Caenorhabditis elegans: one gene and its partner. The protein of the gene in region 1 purifies or fractionates together with the protein of each later gene. This does not show direct contact. Each region holds a gene or a part of one and is shown in the gene's direction. Other genes may lie near its edges.

The links. The genes of interacting proteins can lie anywhere in the genome.
Region 2: the proteins of clh-1 (region 1) and eef-1A.1 purify together in Caenorhabditis elegans (affinity purification with western blotting; one study listed by BioGRID). This does not show direct contact.

The regions. Positions count from the first base shown.
Region 1 is NC_003280.10:11,852,357-11,859,725, reverse strand, and holds the start of clh-1 (CBS domain-containing protein), read left to right. Parts: upstream 1-3,264; coding exon 3,265-3,464; intron 3,465-4,980; exon of another isoform or gene 4,981-4,982; coding exon 4,983-5,111; intron 5,112-5,155; coding exon 5,156-5,212; intron 5,213-7,369.
Region 2 is NC_003281.10:6,968,530-6,975,341, reverse strand, and holds eef-1A.1 (Elongation factor 1-alpha), read left to right. Parts: upstream 1-3,629; 5' UTR 3,630-3,661; coding exon 3,662-3,805; intron 3,806-3,858; coding exon 3,859-4,027; intron 4,028-4,075; coding exon 4,076-4,896; intron 4,897-4,945; coding exon 4,946-5,203; 3' UTR 5,204-5,316; downstream 5,317-6,812. Other genes in the region: Putative serine/threonine-protein kinase F31E3.2, read right to left, coding at 737-880; rfc-4 (Replication factor C subunit 4), read right to left, coding at 1,727-1,813, 1,861-2,091, 2,145-2,277, 2,325-2,581, 2,647-2,707, 2,756-2,850, 2,896-2,974, 3,021-3,082; F31E3.12 (uncharacterized protein), read right to left, coding at 5,323-5,452, 5,494-5,664, 5,714-5,799.

The DNA.
Region 1 (7,369 bases):
GGCATAAAAATCATTAAAAATTACAAAAAAAAACACAACAAATCATTGAATCCCTTTGAAATTACCGCCAGTTCCTAACGAGACCCAGAGTATGGGGGCGGAGCGTTTTGGTTTAACCGTGGAGCGCCATTGGACTTCGATCTCAGACGACTCATTTTTTGCGTCACCATATAAGTTTTTTGTGAAATTTAATGCTGTAAAAGAACTTTGCATAAATGAACCGAAACCATGCAATTTAGTCCAAAACTGTGAAATTCTTGAATGCCAATTTTTCCTCGAGGACTACACGAGCTGCGTAAATCGACAAATGGCCTATATCTAGGATATTTTCTTCCGTTTTTTTTACAATTAGTTTTAGGAAAAAGGTCTGCAAATCGTTGCTTTGAACCAAAGCTCAAAGTTATTTTTGCCAGATTTCCTAAATTTCTAGAATTTCAGCTACAAAATTTCAAGAAAACGTATCATTATGCAGATAATTGCTTTGTTTTTTGTAACATTAGAGTTCTGTTCTTTGAAACTCAGTTTGACCTCCACAGATTGCGCCAAAACTTGCTATGCGTCTTTAATCTTCTAGCTAAATTTTCAAAAATGTGTTCCTCATATGTATATATCGAAAACCTAGAAATTATAAATTTTTATTGCTCTTTACCAACAAAACCAACAATTATTCCGCCTTCTACCAATTTTCAAATCCTTCACATTCTCCACCCCATTTGAACCCGGACCCTCATCAAAAATGAATAAAACCCTCTCTCCAGCCTCCCCCATCTAAATCAAAAAATCCAAAATTCCACGAAAACCTTTGAAATTTGAAGCGACTTCCTTCCTTTGCCAGCTTTTTCCGTTCGGTTTTTGGTCGCCACCAGATTTTTTCCACGAAAAAAATGTGCCTTATTTTGTGTGTCTGCTGTGTTCTAAAATTGCACACATAATTGCGGTAGACAATTTTTTTTCGAAAAAAAAGTTGTATTTTCGGAAATGGCCTTTATTTCCGCGCACATTTACCCGGAAACGAAAACAATAAAAGTTGTAATTTTTGGTTTTTTTTTGGGATTTTTTGGGGCTTTTTGGAGTAAAAGGAAGTGATCGAAAATCAGTTTTGAATTGTAAAGACACAAAAAATTAGAAAAGCTCGGCCACCAATTTTGTTTTCGCGGCCACGATTCTAGAACGTTCCTGACTTTAATGGCAGTTGTAGCAAAAATGCATACCCGCCTGCCTATAGAGTTTGCCTTGAAGGCGACCTATGCCTACCTACTTAGGCGTGAAAACGTCGATCACCTTCTTGGCAAGTAACACCTGACTTGTAGGCATCTAGGTAGGCATTTTGTGCCTAGATTGTAAACTTAAAGTGTGGCATCATTGTGACCCATATTTTGAATACTCATTTAACGACTTGTATACATTTTCTCATAAAAATCTGTGTTATCAAATATTAAAAATTCGAGATTCTCTTATCAAATTACTTGTATTTTTCAGAGTTCTCAAAATTGTTGTAGTCTGGAAATTCGTCAGAAAAATTAAAAAATCTGGCTCCAATTGAAGACAGAATGAGTCAGTTTTGTTTTCACTTCTCCTTCTTCTTCTCCTCCTTCTTTTTCTTTTTTTCTTCTTCTTATCAGTAAAATTTCAGAATTCTCAGCAAAAGTTAATTTCCTTTTCAAATGTTGTTTCACCACACCGAGACACCAACAATTATGACATCCTAATTCCAATTGCTCATAGTACTGAAATTAGTGGCTTCTTCTCCCTGTTAATTCGCAGGTGCCACGTAATCTAAGGTCATCGACCATAACACGATGGTCTCGAATTTCATTCAGAGGCTTCCTTCTTCCAGTCTTTTTTCGGGAATCCCTATGTTTTTTTGACGACTAATCTCAAAAGCTCTAACTGACTCTCTGGCGCCGTCGGTAAACACCCCTCCCCCCCGTCATTGCGGATTTTTCAAGTATTCTTCAACACAATATCTTCTTTAGAACCAATTTTGGATTTCTTGTGAAAATTGGCTCCGTGTTTTTTTTCTCGCTCAATTGTTAGAAAAACTTGTCTGGAAGCTTTGATGTTTTGAACAAAGTCCTGTTTGAATAGACACGCGCTTGAACTTTTCTCAGCAAAATTGGATTAAACGTGGTGGATTATCTTATGTAACTCGTAATTTGAAAAAAAAAACTCCTTTTCACTTTTTTGCTCCAATGACTTTCAGTCCCACAGATGAGGATTAAGTTGGAGATTATGACAACCAAAAACTAATTTTAGGTCATTTTTTGAGCCGCCATAACTTTTTTTTGAGAAGTTTTCAAGAAGATTCATTTTGAAATTCGGTGTTTTCAGACGATTTCGAGTCTAATAAATCAATTAAAAAGATTGGACTACACCACCTTTACAATTTGAATCCATTTTAATTTTGTTCACATCTACCCAATCAAGCTATTTTCTATTCTACATATAACCAAAATATAAATGAGGAAGCTAAGATAGAAGTGTGTGCCGAAAATTGAGGAGCTTAAAATATTCGCTTAGAATATTTTAGCCAGGTAAGTTCACTGATATCATGCAAGTCAAAAACATGAACGAATCGGGATTAGAGAAAATGAATATGTTCTGTCCATTGGCCCAAGTACCGGCAAATTTGAATTTTCATAGACATCTTTAGGATAATGAGCCAGACTTTAATGTATGTGCAAAAATACCTGACGAGGCAAGCTGTGCCTATCTGCCTTGTAGGCGCATAGGCAGGCTTGAGGGCATGTGCTTTTTTTTTATTGAAATCTGTCCTTTCTAGGCTTTGGCTTTTCTTAAAATCTCTATAACTGAAAACCCCACGTCAGAGTATGCGTGGGCTGCTCCAAATCGCCGTGACTGCCACTGGCTGGAAAAGCAGACAATACAAAACCAAATATTTTGAAGTCTTTCTTATACCACGACAACTCGTTATTTGCCTCTTATTTTTCCGGGATTTTCTCTGACTTTTTCAGCTTTCAATTTAACGATGAATTGTTAAAAACATTTATAGAATTTCTCAGAATTTTTAAAAGTTATATGACTAGATATATTCTAAGGTTTTATTGTTTTTTATCATTCATACATGTACATACATGTATGTACATGTACATACATGTATGTACATGTATGATTAACATCCTTTGTCTTACATTTCCGTTCTTTTCTTTTTTTTATTACTTTTCACTATCAGTCACGTGAAATCCACGGGAATTTCTTTAAAACTTCAAGCCTTCCAGATCGAAAGTGGATTTCTTCAGGAGAATGCGACGGAACTCGCCGCGAGCAACCATCTTGTTCGCGGTGAATCCGGATAAAGGAGCATTTCCATTGCTCATGACACTTCCTTATGAGAACTACAATAATCAGGCAACCACATCATCCGCTGACACTTCGGGCACAACGACCACTGATTTGACATCGAGGAGGTTGGAGAGTATTGCAGAGGATGGGAGCATTTTGAAGTGAGTTTCACTGGAGCACTGGGAAAATTTAAAATTGTCAACTTTAATAAATCTGGCAATTATAAGTCTTAAAAACAGATGAGCACCAAATTCTAGCTCTGTTAAGAGTTCAAAACCGGATTTCAAAAAGGTTCACAGTTTGGAAAAGTTTCAAAAAATAATTGAACTTGTTTATTTGGGTATCAAACATGAGTCATCAATATTTAATGCATACATAGGTATATTCAAATCAGGGGTGGGCGGCAATTTTTTTGTCGACAAACTCGGCAAATCGACAAATTGCCGGTTTGTAAATTTGCCGGAAATTTTTATTTTCTGCAAATTGGCGATTTGTCAATTTGCCGGAAATGTTTAAAGGGATTTTTTATAAGACGGAAAAAACTGTGCCCTTTTGAAATTTCGTTCCCGTTTTCTCTAGAATAGAATTTTCTTACTTTTCAAAATAGATGTAGGAGCATTCATAGGATGCGTACAATTTTGCCGATTGACATTTGTATTCTGAAATTTCCAAAAAAACGTGCAAGACCAAACTTGCCGCTTTCCCGAAAAGTTCAATTCCAGCAATTTGCCGATTTGCCGGAAAGTTTAATTTCGAAAGTTTGCCAACTTGCCAGAAAATTTCGAAATTTCGGCAATTTTCCGGCAAATCCGGAAAATCGTAAATTTGCCGGTATATCAATTTGCCGAAAATTTTTCAATTCCGGCAATTTGCCGATTTCCCGGAAACTTTAAATTCCGGCAATTTGCCGATTTGCCGGAAATTTTCAATTCCGACAAGTTTCCGATTTGCCGGAAAGTTCAAATCCGACAATTTGCCGATTTGCCAAAAATTTTAAATTCCGCCAACTTGCCGGAAAAATTCGGTAATTGCCATTTTTCCGGCAAATCCGGGGAATCGTCAATTTGCCGGTTTACCGATTTGCCGAAAATGTTCAATTCCGGCAATGTGCCAACTTGCCGGAAAATTGCCCCTCAGAATTAAAACACATATAAACAACAATTTGATGTCAAAATGTAAATTTAAAAAAGAGCATGTTTTTTTTTAATTCTGAAAACTCAAAAAAAATTAACCAGCCATACAGTCTGAAGCAGAAGTGAAAACCCAAAAATTATCACAGCTAAAAATAGTCGAAAAGTAAACAAGTAGTCAATTGATAAGCTTTGTGTGGAGTATATTGCAGCTTCTCTATACCCCCTTTTGTATCATTCACCTTCCCCTTGATCATCCATTGCGCATGCGCATGTCTGTGAAAAATGTCTGTGAAGGAGGCTCCACCCACTCTTAACTTCTTGTCACCATCGATCAAGACACCTGTGTGATTGGAGAGGAATAGAGATAGAAGGGGAGAAAGGAAACGGAGAAAAGAAGAAAAACGAAGAATATTTTGAATTATTGATATTGTATCGTCTTTCTCATCTCGATTGTGTTTCTGCCCCCAGTGTCATCACCTAACAGTTCGCCTCCTTTTTCTTACTTTTTACGTGTAGTTTTCATTGTTAATTGATTCTGCACATCAGGATGGAAGACGCCGTCGTCGTCGACGAGGAGCACCGACGACGTGGCGAAGACACTCAATCGTCGGGCCAGTCGAGCCTTCCATCGGACATTGTGCAGTTCACTGCGAGACCCCACATGTTAATGGAAGAGTGAGCAACTTAGTGTGTGATTGTTAGTGTGTTTTTTCTTGCAGTGTTGAATGCAGCCCGATTGAGCCGACGGAAAAGGAATGGAATGAATATCGTGATAGGTTTGTGTGGTGTTGTGTGGATTTTATGAAACGGACTCGCTAGGTGTCGGCTGCGTTTGAAGTTGATCCTAGAATACAAATCCGGCCGACCTGCAAAGTGTCGGCTGCTTTAAAGGTTGAGCTTTCCCAATGGTCCCGCAAGATGCCCGCTGCTTAAAAAACCTTATCCTATGTGGCCTCGCAAGGGGTCGGCTGCTTTTAATAGCTGAGCCAAGCTTTGAAACTCTGGTCCAGCTAGGCGTCGGCTGCTTTGAAAAAAAAAACTAGTCAAAACTTTACCAAGACAGCCCGTGAAGTGTCGGCTGCTTTCAATAAGTTACCCCAAACCGATGCAGTTTGGTCCAGCGAGCTGTCGGCTGCTATAACTTTTTGACAAAATTTATCCAGACATAGTAACAGGGAATTTAATAAATTAAATTGAAATAAAAAAAACAAAAAAATTTTGTTACCCGTCAGATGTCGGTGGCTTTTTTTTAAAAGTTTTTCTATGTTTTTACTCACAAATTATCCCTAGTAAACATATTTTGTAGTCATCCCCTGTGACCTGAAGCCTTTTTTGTCCAAAAGTACCAAAAATAGAAGTCCAAAGTGTCAGAAAAAGAAAAACTATCAATTTGTTCAATTTCTAATTCGATTCATCATCTCGTGAGTCTCGATCATCATCATCATTATCGTTCATATATGGGCGAAAACTGATCATACCACAGTTCTTGCAGGCGAATACGAATACCATTCTTATCATGAAAAGAAACGGAAATAGAAACATGACCAAGGGGTCTGGCAGGCTTTTCATGTGAATACCCCATTTAGCATTTCCCCAAATAACCATCCAAATCTGAAAGCTTTTGTTGAATCAGTTCAAAGATACACAACCCTATGAGTAAATGGTGTTTCTTTATCACTTATGGGGGAAGAAAGAATTGGGGGACGCCACCGAAAATAGACTTGTTTCCTTAGTGGACACGCTTCCGGCCATCACACGAATCAAATAAGACAATTAATTGAGGAAGAGAAAAGGACATTGGAAGTTATTGATTTGAGAAATGTAGACCAGGTGATTAGAGGGGTTATGGGGATTTTGGGTAATGGAGAATTAATATTAACAAAAATTTTGAGTCCTCGGTATAAATCAGGGGTGAGCGGCAAATGCCGTTCGGCAAATTGATTTGTCGACAAATTCAGCAAATCGGCAAATTGCCGGTTTGCCAATTTGCCGGAAATTTTCAATTCCGGAAATTTGCCGGTTTGCCGATTTGTCGTTTGCCGGAAACGTTTTGAGGGATTTTTTTACAAGACGGAAACACTTAACTGTGTCATTTTAATTATTTCCGTTTTTTCTAGATATTCTCATAGAATTTTTTTATTTTTCAAAATAGATGTAGGAACATTTATAGGATTTGTTTAATTTTTCCATTTGAAATTGAAATCCTTAAATTTCAAAAAAAAAAAGTGCAAAACTACAATTTGACAGAAATTTTCAATTCCGGCAAATTGCCGATTTCCCGGAAATTTAAATTCCGGCAATTTGACGATTTGCCGATCTGCCGGAAAACATCGTTTGCCTACGTAATTTGTTAGTTGGCATTTTTTCTGCAAAGCTAAAACTAGCCGAGATATGAGCTGTGAAAATGCATCGGCAAATTCGGCAAATTTGCCGCACACCTCTGGTAAATACGTTTTGTTTCCATCTAAAGCTGGATAATGAATTCCACTTACATACTTATTTTTAAGGTCTCACGTTTACCAAATAGGCAACTTTTTGTTTGCTCGCACAATTTTACAATAGGGAGTTTTTTGTTGATTTTAGCCACTTGCGATAGGTATTCAAAATTGTGAAAAGTATTAAACTCCATTTAAGTTAGTGAGAACATTGATTTTCCAATTTCTTTTTCCAATGTTTTGATGTCCTCCAACTGCTCCTAATTTGCAAAAACTAGCTGGAATTTTATCAAACATGAAAAATAAATTGAAAAATCGCAGTTAATTTCCACGACAAAAAGCCAAAGACTATCTCGAGAGAGATAAATTGAAATTCCAAACAGTTTCCGCTTTGCGGTGTCATCTCTCTGATCGGTCTTTCAACTTCCATAGAACATACATTGTCTTTTCATCTTCTTCTTCACCGAGACACCGTCCAAATCGATTCCGTCTCCTATC
Region 2 (6,812 bases), on another chromosome or scaffold:
AATTTCACAGAATCTGCGCAGAAAATTTTAGAAACTACAGTAACCTTTGAAGGCGCACACCTTTTTGCCTTTAACAAAAAATTGTCGTGCCGACACCGGGTACTGATTTTCTGACTCAAAAATTATGGGGTTATTCAAGTAGTGTCGGGAAAAAAAAAATTAAAAAGTGTAGAAAAATTACGTCACACATGTATTCAAGTAAAAAAAACATGTATTTAAATACATTTGTGACGTCACAAATGTATTTAAATACATTTTGCTACATTACTTGAATAACCCCATAAATTCGGAAATATCGCCTATTTCAGAACTCAAAAGGAGCTGAAGAGTCACTGTTTGGAGAGGAAACTTCCTTCCTTGAAATGACTGATGCATCATCATGATGACTTCTCAGACAAACCATATCATACTAACTCCTATTAAGTCATAGTTAGGCAGCTCTAAACATAGTTAGGAAGAGTTATTCAGAGTAAATCAGATCGACAAAGTACAATCAGACCAATTCCGAGCTAGGCATAGTTAGGCAGATCTAGGAATGAGCTAGGCATAGTAAAGCGTGGTTACTCCGAGTAAAACCACACTTGCACCGAACTGCGGTTAGTGTGCTTTACCATTATGTAACTCCGCTTTTTACTCTGAGTTAGTATGATATGGTTTGTCTGAGTTTTTGAATAATTTTTTAGTTAAAACAAAGAAAATAAGTGGATCTTTCAAGGTTTTTTCAGTTCTCAGTCACCTTTTGATATTCATTTTCAGCCTGCGGTTCTCCAATTCTTAATCTTTTCTTCGCTGGTCCATCTTCATCGTCGTCTAGATTTTCCTCATTTCTTCCAATGTGATGATGACATCCGGGCCGTTTTCTAGTCGCCACGTTACCCATTATTGCTGCTGTAGCAGCTGTAAGCCGGCCAGACGGTGATGGCGAGGAAAGTTTTTTGGAAAAACAGACAGTAGGAGTGATTAACAAGAAAACGGAATGTCCCGTGGTTGTGGCGGAATGATGAAAGAATTTTTGGGAGCAGGAGGAGGAGAAGAAGAAGGACACAAACATACAGGAAAAGAGCAAACAGAGACAGTGAGCAAGTGTGATCAGGAGCAGGTACACGGATTATAAGCACTGAGACACATTGACTCGATCAAATTTGAGTACTGATCAGACGGTGGACTTTCGAATTGACCCCACTTTCTCTAATATTAGTACAGAGTCAGGAAGCTTCAATTGAAATCATATGGAAAATGAAGCAGAGCTATAGTAGAAAAGAAATTCACAATGAAATGGGATTCAAAATTGCCTCAATTCAAATTCTCACACAAATTGCTTGAGACAAAAAAGCTCTTGAAATTGGATACTTCCACTTCTTCAGCTTCATACCAAAAATGAAAACTGCTCAATGGGGCGAGATTACTTAGAAAATGGAAGGGGAGCCGAGTCTTCAAGGAGCGAAAATCGATGGGCGACAGAGGGTGAAAAACTGAGCGGAGAGCAAAATAGTTGGGAGGGAACTAGTAGTTATTTATTCCAAACTATCCTATTCGATATTTTGTATTCAACTGAAAAAAAACCTAAGCCGAATTGTACCTTCAAAAAAATATAATAATCTCAATGTTTTGTCGAAATTTGAGCACAAAACTATTGTTTATAGAATGTTAAAATTTATATATAGTACACGTGAATTTTGAAGTTGAGAAATCAATGGGCAAATTGAAACCGTATTGTGTTAATTTATCATTGGATAGTTTCACGAAGAGTGAGCAGAAAGTCGAGGAGATTGTTTTCCAAATCACATCCATCCAAAATTCGCTTTTCGCAAGTCTGAAATTGAACTTTCATTTCTATTTATGTATTCATCTTCCACCAACCGCAACCAGTTTCCCCATTACTCCAATATTCTCGTCATTGATAACATCTTCATCCATCAACTGTTGGAAACAACGACGAATGAAAGCAACACCAGTGCACGATTTTGTGATATCCTTTGTCAATGCAATTATTTGGGGAACATCAGCAGTCAGGATTGATTTGCAAACGTTTGAAATGAGTAAACTGTCCGAAGAACCACGGAGATAGCAATTTCGAGCATTGTCATCGCCCTGGAAATATAAAGTACTATTTTTACACAATATTTATAGAAAAAACAACTAACACTTTTCAAAATTGGAGCCAATGACTGAAGTGTACATACAGCTCGTCTCAAATCACCTTCTGAATATTCCATAACTTGTTTCAGTTCATCATCACTCATGGGAGTTCCTTCTGCATCACAAATTGTTCTCAATCTAAAAACACCGAAAGTTATAAAAAACACTTAATTTTGAAATTTCACCTTTGAACTTGAATCTCGGCTGGAAGTGATTTGAATCGGAACTTGGCACAACGGCTCACAACTGGAGGAATCAATCGGGAAACATAGTTGCAGATGAGAATGAAGCGAGTAGTTTTGGAAAAATCTTCAATAACTCTGCGCATTGCTGCTTGTGCTTCTCGGGTCATCGCATCAACTTCATCAAGTATGATAATTTTCAATTTGAGAACATCTTCCCTATGGCTGTGGCCCAAAGATGACTTGGAGAAGGATTGAATCTAAACAGGAAACGTTTTTATAATTATGGAATTCTTAATTAATTAAAAATCAGTGGCAATCTTACTTTTTGACGAACAACTGCAATACCACGCTCGTCCGATGCATTCAAATCAAGAACCCTATCGCTGAAAATATAATTATTGGAAAAAATTATCACCCAGTATTTCACTTACTGGAAAATATTTTTTGGGAAGAGTTGGCGGCAAAATGCAAGAGCTGCTGACGTCTTACCAGTACCTGGTGGTCCATAGAACAAAAGATGTGGTAACTGAAAAATTAAAACGATTAGTTTGAATAATTTTTTAAGCAATACGTCTCTTCCTTGAAGCGCTCCTTTCAGCATTGTGACGACTTCATCCTGGTATGCAATATCGTCTAGCGTTTTTGGACGACTGAAAATTTGAATTTACTTTGCAAATCGAAAAACAAAAAACTAACTATTTTTCTGTCCAGGTGAGCACCTTTGGTCTTTTATTGTCAACTTCCATTGGTTCTTCCATTGTTTCTGTTAAATTAATGAATTTTTCATAAAATAAAGACATTATACAATATAAAAATGAAGAATTTATTGAAAATAAACTGCCAGAGAGAAAAAGTATGCAACACTCCCGCCGAGAGTGTTTGAAATGGTGTACGGTACATTTTCGTGCTAGGAGTTAGATGTGCAGGCAGCAACGAGAGGGGGAGAGATTTTTTTGGGCCTTGTGAAATTAACGTGAGTTTTCTGGTCATCTGACTAATCATGTTGGTTTTTTGTTGGTTTATTTTGTTTTTATCTTTGTTTTTATCCAGATTAGGAAATTTAAATTTTATGAATTTATAATGAGGTCAAACATTCAGTCCCAGCGTTTTTCCTGTTCTCACTGTTTAGTCGAATTTTTATTTTAGGCTTTCAACAAATGTTCTAACTGTCTTATTTGTGACCTCACTTTTTATATTTTTTTAATTTTTAAAAATATTAGAAGTTTCTAGGATAATTTTTTCGACTTTTATTCTCTCTACCGTCCGCACTCTTCTTACTTTTAAATTAAATTGTTTTTTTTTCAGTTGGGAAACACTTTGCTCACTCCGTAGCAGCCATGGGAAAAGAAAAGGTTCATATCAACATCGTCGTCATCGGACACGTCGACTCCGGAAAGTCCACCACAACTGGACACTTGATCTACAAGTGCGGAGGAATTGACAAGAGAACCATCGAGAAGTTCGAGAAGGAGGCTCAGGAGGTAAATAGTACAAACAACTAGTTTGAAAGATTTTCTCACCCGATTTTTTTCAGATGGGTAAGGGATCTTTCAAGTACGCTTGGGTCCTCGACAAGCTGAAGGCCGAGCGTGAACGTGGTATCACCATCGATATCGCTCTCTGGAAGTTCGAGACTGCCAAGTACTACATCACCATCATCGATGCCCCAGGACATCGTGATTTCATCAAGAACATGATCACTGGTACGACTTTGTTAAATTTTTAGCTCGTTTATAAAACTTTAATTGCAGGAACATCCCAGGCCGATTGCGCCGTCTTGGTCGTCGCTTGCGGAACTGGAGAATTCGAGGCCGGAATCTCCAAGAACGGACAAACTCGCGAGCACGCTCTTCTTGCCCAGACCCTTGGAGTCAAGCAACTCATCGTTGCCTGCAACAAGATGGACTCCACCGAGCCACCATTCTCTGAGGCCCGTTTCACCGAGATCACCAACGAGGTTTCTGGATTCATCAAGAAGATCGGATACAATCCAAAGGCTGTTCCATTCGTCCCAATCTCTGGATTCAACGGAGACAACATGCTTGAGGTCTCCTCCAACATGCCATGGTTCAAGGGATGGGCCGTTGAGCGCAAGGAAGGAAACGCTTCCGGAAAGACCCTCCTCGAGGCTCTCGACTCCATCATTCCACCACAACGCCCAACTGACCGACCACTCCGTCTCCCACTCCAGGATGTGTACAAGATCGGAGGAATCGGAACTGTTCCAGTCGGACGTGTTGAGACCGGAATCATCAAGCCAGGAATGGTCGTTACCTTCGCTCCACAAAACGTCACCACTGAAGTCAAGTCCGTTGAGATGCATCACGAATCTCTTCCAGAGGCCGTCCCAGGAGACAACGTTGGATTCAACGTCAAGAACGTCTCCGTCAAGGATATTCGTCGTGGATCCGTCTGCTCCGACTCCAAGCAAGACCCAGCCAAGGAGGCTCGCACCTTCCACGCCCAGGTCATCATCATGAACCATCCAGGACAGATCTCCAACGGATACACTCCAGTTCTCGATTGCCACACCGCTCACATCGCCTGCAAGTTCAACGAGCTTAAGGAGAAGGTAACTTATTTGTCTTATTGTTTCGTTTATGTACCAATTTGTTTTTCAGGTTGACCGTCGTACCGGTAAGAAGGTTGAGGACTTCCCAAAGTTCCTCAAGTCTGGAGATGCTGGAATCGTCGAGCTCATCCCAACCAAGCCACTTTGTGTTGAATCCTTCACCGACTACGCTCCACTCGGACGTTTCGCCGTTCGTGACATGAGACAAACCGTCGCTGTCGGAGTTATCAAGTCCGTTGAGAAGTCTGATGGATCCTCTGGAAAGGTCACCAAGTCCGCCCAAAAGGCTGCACCAAAGAAGAAGTAAATCTTCATTGTTGAGTTTATCTTGTTGATTTTTGAATAAATTATCAACTCTTTACTTTTTAATGGGTTATGAAATAAATAAACATTGAAAACTGATAAACAACGTTCATCTCTGTTAACTCAACTCCAGAAAATCAGCATTAACATTAATAAAGTGATAGATATAATGAGGCAAATAATCAAGACTTTGGCTATTGTGTCCTCGTTGTTCTTCAGCTTCGTGGTCCATTTGCAGTGTTGCTTCTCAGATCTGGAAGTAATATTTGGTATTCGATTGAGCTTGCTCCTCACCTTCGATCTAAAATTTCGATAGCATCTGGAGATTCATTGTTTCTTTCGTTGATATCAATTTCTTCTCGGGTGAACTGGTCCACATTTATAGTATGTCTTCTATCATCAAACAGCTTTTCCTTTTCAACTTCCATATTAACTTCGCTTAAGGCACGAGTTATCTCCGCCAGCCTGATTAGATCAATTTAGTACATTGATTTACAAAATTGGGAAAACGAACCGGAACATAGCAGGATTCAATATATTCTTCGGTGTATAGTAACCAGTGTCATCCTTCTCTTCATTTTCTGATAGTTTCTGCGTCATCTTAAGTTAAAAAGTAGTTGTAGAAATGATAAATGGATAGTATAGAATATAGTGAAACGACCGAGGAAAGGTGAAGTGAGTGCAGAATTAGGAGAAGCTTATTTGCATAATAATATAAATGAATGAACGACGAGGCGGAGGAAACAAAGAGCACCCACCCGAACGATCGGAGAGATGAGCACTTCTTTTGTATCCGTTCAGTGACTGGGTATTGACAAGTTCATAAATTACAAAGCACAGGAAATAAAGTTTCAGCTATCAATCAGTACAGTCTGTACAGATATCAAATTATCAACAAACAACGAAATCTTGTTAGGTTCAACAATAACACTTTATTAGTTTGGAAGAAAATGAAATTTTTTTTTAATCGATACCAAATTTGAAGAAATAAGTTTCACTGACTTTCTTCCCAGTGTGCAGTATACAACTTCCATTCACTGAGTTTTCAATCATTTTTTCCTGAATATAAATGTTTACTCTCACTCTCCCTTGGTGTTGCACAAACAATACATATTTTATGTTCGTAGTCTTGCAATTTATTGTAGATTTTCGAAAAACCATTCCTTAGCTCCCGATTTTTGGGATTACCTCTCAGGAATAGGAATTGACCACGTATATTTAGGCAGTCCTCTTACAGCTTGATCTCCGAGGTCAAACTGTGAAGAGTCCGCCAATTAACGTGTTTGATCTCTGTGGCTCGTATTCAGAGAGAGAAAGAAACAAACAAGAAATTTCAATATCAACTCAAATCAAACGGTGTGAAGATCTCAAAGAGACCATAACAAAATGTCTCTAAATTTTATCTTTTACCATCAAACGTTTTTCAAATTACCAAATATTTTTGCCAAATTTATCATTTCCAAATACTTTGGATTTTTCTGGTTGCTCTACGTGAATTTTTTATTTCGAAAAATTTGAGAACGCCATTTTACATTTACTTGCACTTTATCTAATTCAATTTGCTTTTTATTCAATGTATTCAAAAATATAGTTTTTCAAGAAGCATGGTTCGT